Arabidopsis thaliana: one gene and its partner. The protein of the gene in region 1 interacts with the protein of each later gene in a pairwise test. Each region holds a gene or a part of one and is shown on either strand. Other genes may lie near its edges.

Region 1 (5,246 bases):
TTGTAGGTTCAGTGGTAAGGGTAAACTCGTAAAATACTTGCATAGAAAAATACTTAAATCTATAAGGCATATGAGATATGTCTGTTTTCATAAAGATATAAACTTAATTGTGTCAATCCCATAATTAATCCCTAAATTGTGAGTTGCAGTTTTAGAGTTTATGAGTCTTTTTTAAAAAAATTATTATGTTCCATTTTAATATATTTTAGTACCAGGTTTACTTCCCCTTTTTTTTGGGTTTTAACTTCTTTCTTGTTTGAGTTTTGCTTTAGAGATTTTAGTTTTTGTAAAGCAAAAATTTGCTCCTGATGAATCATGCCTAATGCTACCTGTTCTTATTGTCGATTTGGTAGTCTTTCATTGCAGCAAATATTCTTTCAATCACTTCTTTCAAAAAATCTACATATACATTTTTGCAGCCATTTTAACAAATAAATCCTGAATTTGGACTTATTTACAACTCAATGCCATTAGCATTAAATCTTTTCTCCAAAATAATTAATTTTACTTGATTTAAATTGTCAACCACATTATCAATCAAATTTAACCCTTAAAATTAGCATAAACATATTTGTTAACAATATTTTAAAACAAAGTTTTTTGTTAAAACAAATATTATTCTTACTAAACATTTTTTGTTTAAATAAATAAATCATGTATTTGAACTTATTTACAATCTCATGACACTGACATTAATTATTTAGGAATGAAAATATTTAATTAAAGATTTAAATCTTCTAAATCCTTGCTTTTAGAGTTATTATGTCATTACCTTAAAGGCTCAAAATATAAAATAAATAAATATAATTATTTAAATATTTTAAATTTATAAAACATTATTAATATTTAAAATTATAAAAAGTTTAATATATCATAATTTTTTAACATCATTATATAATATATAAAGTTTAAAAAAATCTCTATTCTTTCCGCCATAATTTGTGATTCGAAATTTTAAAAATAAACATATATTAACCAATTGGCGAAAAATGTTTGAGTTCAACGTCCCACATCGACTAAAATATTTAGACAATAATTCATAAACATATCATAAATAAGATTAACATTAATAAAATAATGGTTTTTTTACGGGACGGGTTTGGCGTGACGGGTTTGGCAGAACGTTACTTAATAACAATTGTAAATTATAAAATAAAAATATTTTATAGATAGATACAATTTGCAAAATTTTATATATATTAACTTTAAAATATAAATTGTCCCCGCGGTGTACCGCGGGTTAAAATCTAGTATTGAAATATTTTGGTTTCAATTATTTATTTATCGGGAATTGATTTTGAATTGGTAGTGTGAATTATTGGTGTCACTGTTATACCGCGCTGGCAATTAAATCGATAGGGTCATATAGATGTCATTAGGTAATCGCAAGAGTAATATATTTTATGGATATGGTAAGGGTTGATGCTTTGTCATGGTTTTTATTATTATTATTATATATAAATGTAAATATTAATGAAATAGTGTGTATATATATATATAATAGTTTTGGAATTACATGATGTATAATGTATATAGGGGTTGAGAGACCTATGACCGGTCAAAATTTGGGGGCCAAAGTAACAAATTATATATTTGGGGTTATTATAAACTGTTTTGAAATTTGGATATATTTTTCTTAGAACTAAATATATTTGGAAGCCTATTTATAAATCAGGTTTGCTGTAAAAAAAAGTTTTTAAAAATGGAGACAACATACAAATGTTTCATGTTGCTTCTTTCAGAGCCGGCCCGGGAGAAGCGTTGCCAAAAAAGAATAAAGACAAAGGTAACAAATAAACAAAGAAGACACAACAGTGAATTCATCTAATCCAAAGTTGTATGTGGTTTCCGAAATGCTTCCTTTGTCTTGTTCCGAATCTCTCTGTCGATGAACTTGAAAATGGTGTTTCACGTTCATTCAATAAAAAATAACAACCATAGTGTACACAGAGACTGATAGTGAAATAAAGGAAAAAAAAACTATAATCTGTTAAATTCAGATAATATCTATTATTTTTTTGTTTTGTTGAAAAATCAAATCTCTAGTAACATTAATGAGTATGAATCGTGTCTGGTAGTTGGTACGAATCGAGATCTCATCAATGGGTTTTTTAAGCTGCTTTGAGACGTGCGTAACACGAAGTTGTCCACTATGACTTGCTCTTGTACTTATAAGTTAAAATAATGATGCAGCAGAAAACAATTACTATTTTGTGAGACACGTATATCCCAACAAAACAATATGTCGTAGAACGTGCTAATTAATTAGTGAATACCTACGTGTCACGATCTCATGAGATTGGTGTATTACTGAGAACTAACGATCTCATGAGATTGGTGTATTACTGAGAACTAATCACTAATAAACGTGAATCTCGTGACACATATTATCATTATGCCTATATATACGTACATAAAACAAGACATTATTACAAACACAAAATATAGAAAAAGAAATAATGTATTCAGAGGAAAAGAAAAGCAGAAATTATGGTTCAATCTTTGTCTACTGCTTCTTCTGTTTCGTACTCATTGTGGAGGTTGCAAGATTCGCAAAACCTTATATCAACCTTCAAAACCTAATTGAGACGGAAGCAGTAGTAGAAGAAGGTTTCATGGCGGTGGGGAACTCAGGGAATCTTCCGTGTGGCTCGTCAAAACCTAGCTCTGCCTCTGTTCGTGCTCATGATGAACAGAAGCTCTCGCAAGCAGTAACAACAGATACGAGAACTCGTCCTCCAAATTCGTACTGCGTGAAGTTCCAGTCTTTTGTCACTATGGCAAAGCAGGTCAAAGAAAACGGTGGCAAGTATGAGTCACGTCCTTTCTCCGTCGGTGGATACAATTGGTACGTACGCGTTGACTTCCATTTCAAAAATGTTGAGAAACCATACCTTATACATAGAAGATATACATTTTTTTTTGTCAAAGGGTATTCATTTATATACTAGTGTTTTGATCATCTCCACTTTCTATGTGAAAGATTTTAACTTATTGCTCTGAATCTCACCCAAATTTTAATTTGTATATAATTTGACATATTTCTACTTAAAATGTTATAAGGACGCTCCTAATCTACCCAGTCATATACATTCCAACGGACTCGGGTGGGTACGTTTCGATTTACGTAAGAGTCGATAACTCAAGCCTCATCACCAATCCAAAAGATGTGTATGCAGAGATCACATTCCTCGCTTATAAAAGCAGTACAGACAAGTACCAAATAAGCCAGGGTACTAATTAACTAATCTAGAGCAAGTAAATATATATGTTTAAATCTTTTGTGGTTTGTTCAGACTAGTTATTTAAGTTTGATCCGTTTGCAGAGACTGAGGCCCAGCGATTTCATTTGTTTAAACAACAGTGGGGACTTTTACAATTTCTACCAATTTACTATTTTGAAAATCCGGCATATGGATACTTTTTCGAGGGCGAAAGCGTTGTGTTTGGCGTTGACATCAACATTGTTAAACCCTTTGAAAATTGGGAAGTGTTCTCTAATGAACAAAACATTCGTGACCCTATTTTCGAATGGAGACTCACCAAATTCTCTACACGTTTTCTTGACTCTTACACTTCTGATTCCTTTTCTTCCGGAGGAAGAAACTGGTACGTGTGACTTTCTTCCTCTTGTATATATATAACAATACGTACAAGATGTGTTAGTTTAATAATATGATGGTTTTTTACATTGAAGGGCATTGAAAGTGTATCCAAATGGAGTTGGAAATGCTACGGGTAATTCGTTGTCACTCTATTTGTTGAGTGATCAGTCAAATGATAAGGGTTATGTGGAAGCTAAGTTACGAGTTATTGACCAGATCCAATCCAACAATTTCGAGAAAAAAGGTTTGATATCTACTTTGTCAACTACTACTACTAATTTAAAGCTAATTAATTATAATTAATGAGCCTTTAAAAAATAAAAATAACTTTTGATTTCTTCCTATATACACAGTGGCGGCATGGCCCAATGCAACGGAGAATGGATGGGGTTTCGACAGGTTTCTATCATTTGCAGATATCAAAAACACATCAAAAGGTTTCCTAGTCAACGATACTCTCAAACTTGAAGTCCAGATCTTGTCCTTCTCGAAAACCGACTACTACTCTCATCAATCGTCTCTTAATGTTTTAACGGGAGATAGTACTTAGGTGACTAATCGTCGCTAGTGTAATTTTACAACTGGCTACTATCACTTTGCTTCATTGTGTTTTTTGTTTCTGTTCAATAATAATGAGTTCGAGCTTTCCTATGTCAAACTTGATCAATCTGATTTCACATATTGAATACCAAATTGGATAGGATGAAAGAGGCAGTCCCTAGGATGTTTTTTTTTTTTTTTGGATTTAAAGATTGGGTACGTAATCCATTCACATTTCCTTTTATAATTGTCCACTTCTTAATCGTTTAGTCGATCGTCTACGGCTTCAATAATTGTAGTTTTGTCCTTAGTAATTGATTATTCTTTTCACTTCGTTTTTCGTCCACTAATACAATTACTACAATGTTGTTCTTCTCCATAAACATTATCTACATCGATTCCTCTCTATTGCTTGTAGTTGTACAGTTGTCTACTGCGCTTAAACTTTTTGTTCACTTTTCATTTATGTTCCCGTCCTCGGCTTCAACTACTGTACTTTTGAAGATTTGTTAGATATACTAGGAACATGAACTGCTACTAAAAACTTGTCCACGGTTCCATCTTCGTGGACATCTGTATTTTGTTTACTTCGTTTCTCGTCGACTGCTACAACTACAGTATTGTTGTCCATCATCCCTTCTCCGATACATTATCTACATCCATCTTTCTTCGTTTCTCGTCGACTCCTACATGTTTGGGTGACAAATCATCAAGTGATAAATTATTATTGTATTAAAAGCAACCATTTTTATTGTATAACAACCATCATAACTTTCTTTCTGTCCACATTTAATGTGCCACGCCACACCATCATCTTATCTAGACGTCAACTGCTTTTGGCAGAGGTGTCAGCCTCATTGGGCGAAATGTTTTGTTTCCCTCCATAACCAATTAAAGGTAGTTTAGACATCTTCTCCTTTGTCAAAAGCTGACTCATTGCACAATTTTAAAGATATAAAAAATAGCATTGCCGACAAAATATTTATACAAATATGGCACAATTGGCAAAATTCCCTTAAAAAACATAAATAGTACTTAACAAGATTATATCACTTGATGATTTGTCACCCAAACATTTTCTAAAAATTCTTGATCTGAATT
Region 2 (4,692 bases), on another chromosome or scaffold:
AATATGACTAATCCATCCATTGTGGAGGTCAAGTAACGTCTAACAAATAGATAATTAATTTTTGGATAAACATATATGTTTAACGTAAAGTGCTTAGTCAACCAACCACGAATTTTCGTTTCTTTCACCTTTATGCATGGTTCCTTTTTAAGGAATTTTTGTGTAGTTATTAGTTGGCATTATTTTAAGTTAACTAACGTTAGTTAATACGAATCCTCACACGTTACACATTTTGCTATAATATATCCAAAAAATATTTTCAAAGAGTCTTACAATCAAGAGATTTAAAGAGGTGTTTCACTATTTGACGCAATTCTTAATTTTTGAAGTAGTTAAAATTTTGAATCTCCGGTTTCGTATTCACATGATGCTTAGTTTTTCTATTTTGCTGCATTGTTCTCATTTCTTCAGTACTAAAAAGTAAAAATGATCATAATTCATGATTTAGTTTATAAGAAATATAATAATATTCGCATGAATAATTATGATGATTGTCAAGTGTACGAAACAATAAACATCCTTAGACTTGGAAGGAAAGGTGTTCTCATAATTTGGACGGTGGACCTAACTTGCTTCCGTGTGGAATAAGTTATACATATCTTCCTCTTCTTCTCTTTGGTTTTTGGTAAATTATTTCAATTATTTCTAAAGTTTGGTAAGTTAATTTTTTTTTTGTTACGTTTAATTTCCTTTTTATATATATTGATGCGATATGTTTACTAATAGATATTTTAAACATGTACCTGCGCTGGTTCGAACTCAAAAACCCTAAGAAAAAAACTAGCCGATGCTATTTAGTTGTATAGAAAAGCTATTTTCTTGGACGCTAATAATCTTTCGATTAGATACGATAAAATGTTCATATCATAATTCACATTACTAATAAGTTTATCAGATTCTCGCTTTGTTAGCACCAGACTTTTGGTATCGATTCAAGTCGGCTACTCATGTCCTAAAGAGAAATCATAACTAAATCTTACACCAAAAGCTAAGATTATGGTTGTTTGATAGTTCCCTTTTTGGGATCATATATGTTTGATCAGTTCGGTATTAGTAAACTATCTTATTAACCGGACCAAGTCTTGTTCAATTCAATACAATTCTTCGGTTTGTATTATAAAACAAACCGGTCTCATAACCTTAAAATGAAGCCCCCAAAAATAGTCCAATACAACAAAACCAAAGCCAAAGCCTTCTTCCAAAAAGACAGTTTACAAAAACAAAAACAATAATCTCAACCTGAGCAACAACCAGAAGATTTAACAGCAGTAACATCATCCTTATTTCCGATATCAATGGTTTGTCCTTTAGGTAAAGACATCGGATCTCCAGTACCATCAAGAGCTTTACGGCTCATTACACGATAGATTTGAGTCAAGACATGAGTGAAAGCTTGTTCGACATTTGTAGCATCCAAAGCAGAAGTCTCCATGAAAAACATGTTTTCTCTTTCAGAGAATGATCTAGCTTCTTCTGTGGGAACTGCACGAAGGTGACGAAGATCGGCTTTGTTTCCAACAAGCATGATTACAACGTTGGCATCGGTATGGTCACGAAGCTCCTTGAGCCATCTTTCAACGTTTTCGAACGTTATGTGTCGAGTTATGTCGTATACTAGAAGTGCCCCCACTGCTCCTCTGTAGTATGCACTCGTGATTGCTCTGTATCTGTATAACAAATAAGTCGCTATTACTCAAAAACAGAGCATATAGAGAAGAAAGAGAGCATAGGAGTGGGAGATCGGTTTACGGTTGGTTAGTTTCGGCTATTGATTATATCGGTTAATAGAAATTAAAACCAAATAAAATAATTTGTAATCTGGTTTATTTTCCAATTTGTTCTTGATTTGAATTAAGTTATATTTGGTTCCTTTTAGCAAAAAAAACTTTTTACCAAGAAAGTTATATTTGGTTAATCTATAGAAATTGATTATTAAAATAAAATCATTATCTAGTCAAATATTATATCAGTGCAATATACTTATTCCAATTTTCCATACATATACATAATTAAAAGTATATTATATTTATAAAAAAAATCGAAATTGATAATTGAAATAAATCATGATCTAGTTAATATTATATTAATGTAACATAACTATTTCAATTTAATTTCCATAGAGATACATAATCAAAAGTAGAGGATTTCTAAAAAAATGCGGTTTATTTGGTTACACTAAATCAGTTTATATTGGTTTCAAAATAGTAAAACAAACAAATTTGTAAAATTATCCAGTTTGATTTTTGTTCAACCATTTCGGTTTGGTTTGGTTCAAAGAATGAAACAAAACAGAACATATAGAGATAAAACAGTGAAATTTCGAGGATTTATTACCTTTCTTGACCAGCGGTGTCCCAAAGCTGAGCTTTGATGATTTTTTCGTCGACATGAACACTTCTTGTGGCGAACTCGACACCGATGGTTGACTTTGACTCGATGCTGAATTCGTTTCTGGTGAAGCGAGACAAAAGATTGGATTTTCCGACGCCGGAATCTCCAATCAAGACTAGTTTGAAGAGATAATCGTAGTCGTCGTCGGCTCTGTAGGCTCCCATTATTAAGGTATTTGATAGAAGTTACAAAATCGTAAAGAAGAATTCAGAGAGATGTTGCAATATGATCTAATGAAATGAATGATGTGTTGTTGTGTTTTGTAATGAAATGAAATTATGGGTAGTGGGTAACGACGAAAGGGCTTATTGGTTTTGGTAGTGTTATAAAAATAAGAATAATATTAGGATTCAATCATTTGTTATTATTATATGCATGACTTAGCATATGTATATGTTTTGAAAGTCGTTGGAAAGATTAGAGAACAAACATGTTTGACGAAATCTTCGGGTTTATGGCCGCCATGAACTTGGTAAACGCAGAACAATATACACTTGCAGGAAAAAACAATATTATTATGTCTTCAATTCAATAATTCAATTTATAGCTTTTCTCAAATAAAATCACAGGGAAATTTGTTCATAAATAAAATTATAGCAATGTGTAGGAAGATATCTAGGTAAAAGATTTTTTATGGTATATTGTCATGAAATTTTCCATTTCTATTTTTAACTTCTAAGGATTTTTTTTATATGACACTAAATATAGTGTAGAGTTGAGATTATTGTTGGACACATGTACTAGACTTTTAGTAATAGATCAAGTCTAAAGGAAACTAGTAAGTTTGTTTTTGAGATAGATCTTATATTATTTATTTTAGACCTAAAAGGCTAAAACATTTGTGTTCATGTAAATGTTAGCAATAAATAGAAGAATTACTTAAAGCTCTTAATTGACAAACAACATTTTAACATTATTATTTCTCAGTTTTGTTTCTGTGGACAATTTATTTGACTACTATATGCATATATATTTGCTAGATTTTGATACCTACATAACACTTGGTTATAAAGAAAAACAAAAACCACTCAAATTGAATTTCAACTTGAGAACTCTTTATTATTTGACACCAATGTGTATATGACCTATTTTATTACAATAATTTGTATTGGTTCGAGAATCATTGACCACAGCTTATAGCTCAAGACTTAGATAAAACACAGACACTCAAAGAGGAAACATAACACAACAATGGTACAAGATTTTTCTTAACATTTTAAACGACGACTTGCAAGTCACCGACCTATAAATTGTCTCTGTTTTCCACCAATTTCGAAAAGAATACCATAATAAAAGAGGACAATCTATCACCACTTTGATCATCATCAATGTCCCAAGTGCAGAGCTTCATCCACGGCCAGTGCCAATGCAGCAGCAGCACCAACATATGTGTGTGGAGTTAGCTCCAGAAGTTGGTCTTTTGCTTCTGAAGGCAATTCCAAACCTTTGATAAACGTTCTTATGGTTTCTTCATTCACAGCTTTTCCTCTTGTTAGCTCCTTCAGCTTCTCATACGGCTCAGGGACACCGTATCTCCTCATCACCTTTATTTGATACCATAATACTTCTGTGGATTAGAGATACATCAAATATCTTGATTGATATAGAAGATTAGAAACTCGAGAAATTTACAGTTTGTATTGGTTCAGCAAGGACTTCCCAATTATCATCCAAATCTTCTTTTAACCGAGCTTCATTAACCTATATCAAGAACATTCTTAGTTTGTGACAAGTGGAAACATTTCTTAGGGCTACGGTAATAATACCTGAAGCTTCCCGATTCCCTGTATCGCACTCTTGTAAGCGAGAAGAGAGTGTCCTAAAGCTCCACCCATGTTTCTCAAGACAGTTGAATCAGTTAAATCACGCTGCAGATTGTACATTTTTCAGGCTTAGTTTACTTCCATCACTCTAGCTGAGATACATAGAATATGGAGAAATGTTAAAACCTGCATGCGTGAAATGGGAAGCTTCATGCTGAGAAAAGTAAGCTCTGCGTTTGCTTTCCCTAGATTCCCTTCGCTGTTCTCAAAGTCAATAGGATTCACTTTGTGAGGCATTGTCGACGATCCAATTTCACCCGCTTTAGTTGTCTGCAAAATCTCAAACAATGAGACGATTTTCCCATTCAGATTCAAATGATTTGACATCTTTTTTTTTCCTTTCTTATATTAACACTTGCCTGCTTAAAGTACCCTAGAGATATGTAGCTCCATATATCTCTGTCAAAATCAATTAAAATAGTGTTGAACTGGCTGATATTATTAAAAAGTCTAGCCATATAGTCATGAGGTTCAATCT

Evidence for each region. Proteins that work in one complex are often made in the same cells at the same time.
Region 2: the proteins of ZW9 (region 1) and RABA1e interact in a two-hybrid assay, tested with the Arabidopsis thaliana proteins (one large-scale study listed by BioGRID).

The regions. Positions count from the first base shown.
Region 1 is NC_003070.9:21,611,303-21,616,548, reverse strand, and holds ZW9 (TRAF-like family protein), read left to right. Parts: upstream 1-2,379; 5' UTR 2,380-2,459; coding exon 2,460-2,848; intron 2,849-3,063; coding exon 3,064-3,233; intron 3,234-3,326; coding exon 3,327-3,609; intron 3,610-3,697; coding exon 3,698-3,849; intron 3,850-3,958; coding exon 3,959-4,155; 3' UTR 4,156-4,746; downstream 4,747-5,246. Other genes in the region: AT1G58265 (Cytochrome P450 superfamily protein), read right to left, coding at 5,161-5,246.
Region 2 is NC_003075.7:10,182,669-10,187,360, forward strand, and holds RABA1e (RAB GTPase homolog A1E), read right to left. Parts: upstream 2,716-4,692; 5' UTR 2,556-2,715; coding exon 2,335-2,555; intron 1,668-2,334; coding exon 1,235-1,667; 3' UTR 1,003-1,234; downstream 1-1,002. Other genes in the region: AT4G18440 (L-Aspartase-like family protein), read right to left, coding at 3,717-3,935, 4,024-4,092, 4,158-4,259, 4,341-4,484, 4,574-4,690. UniProt on the Arabidopsis thaliana protein: Intracellular vesicle trafficking and protein transport.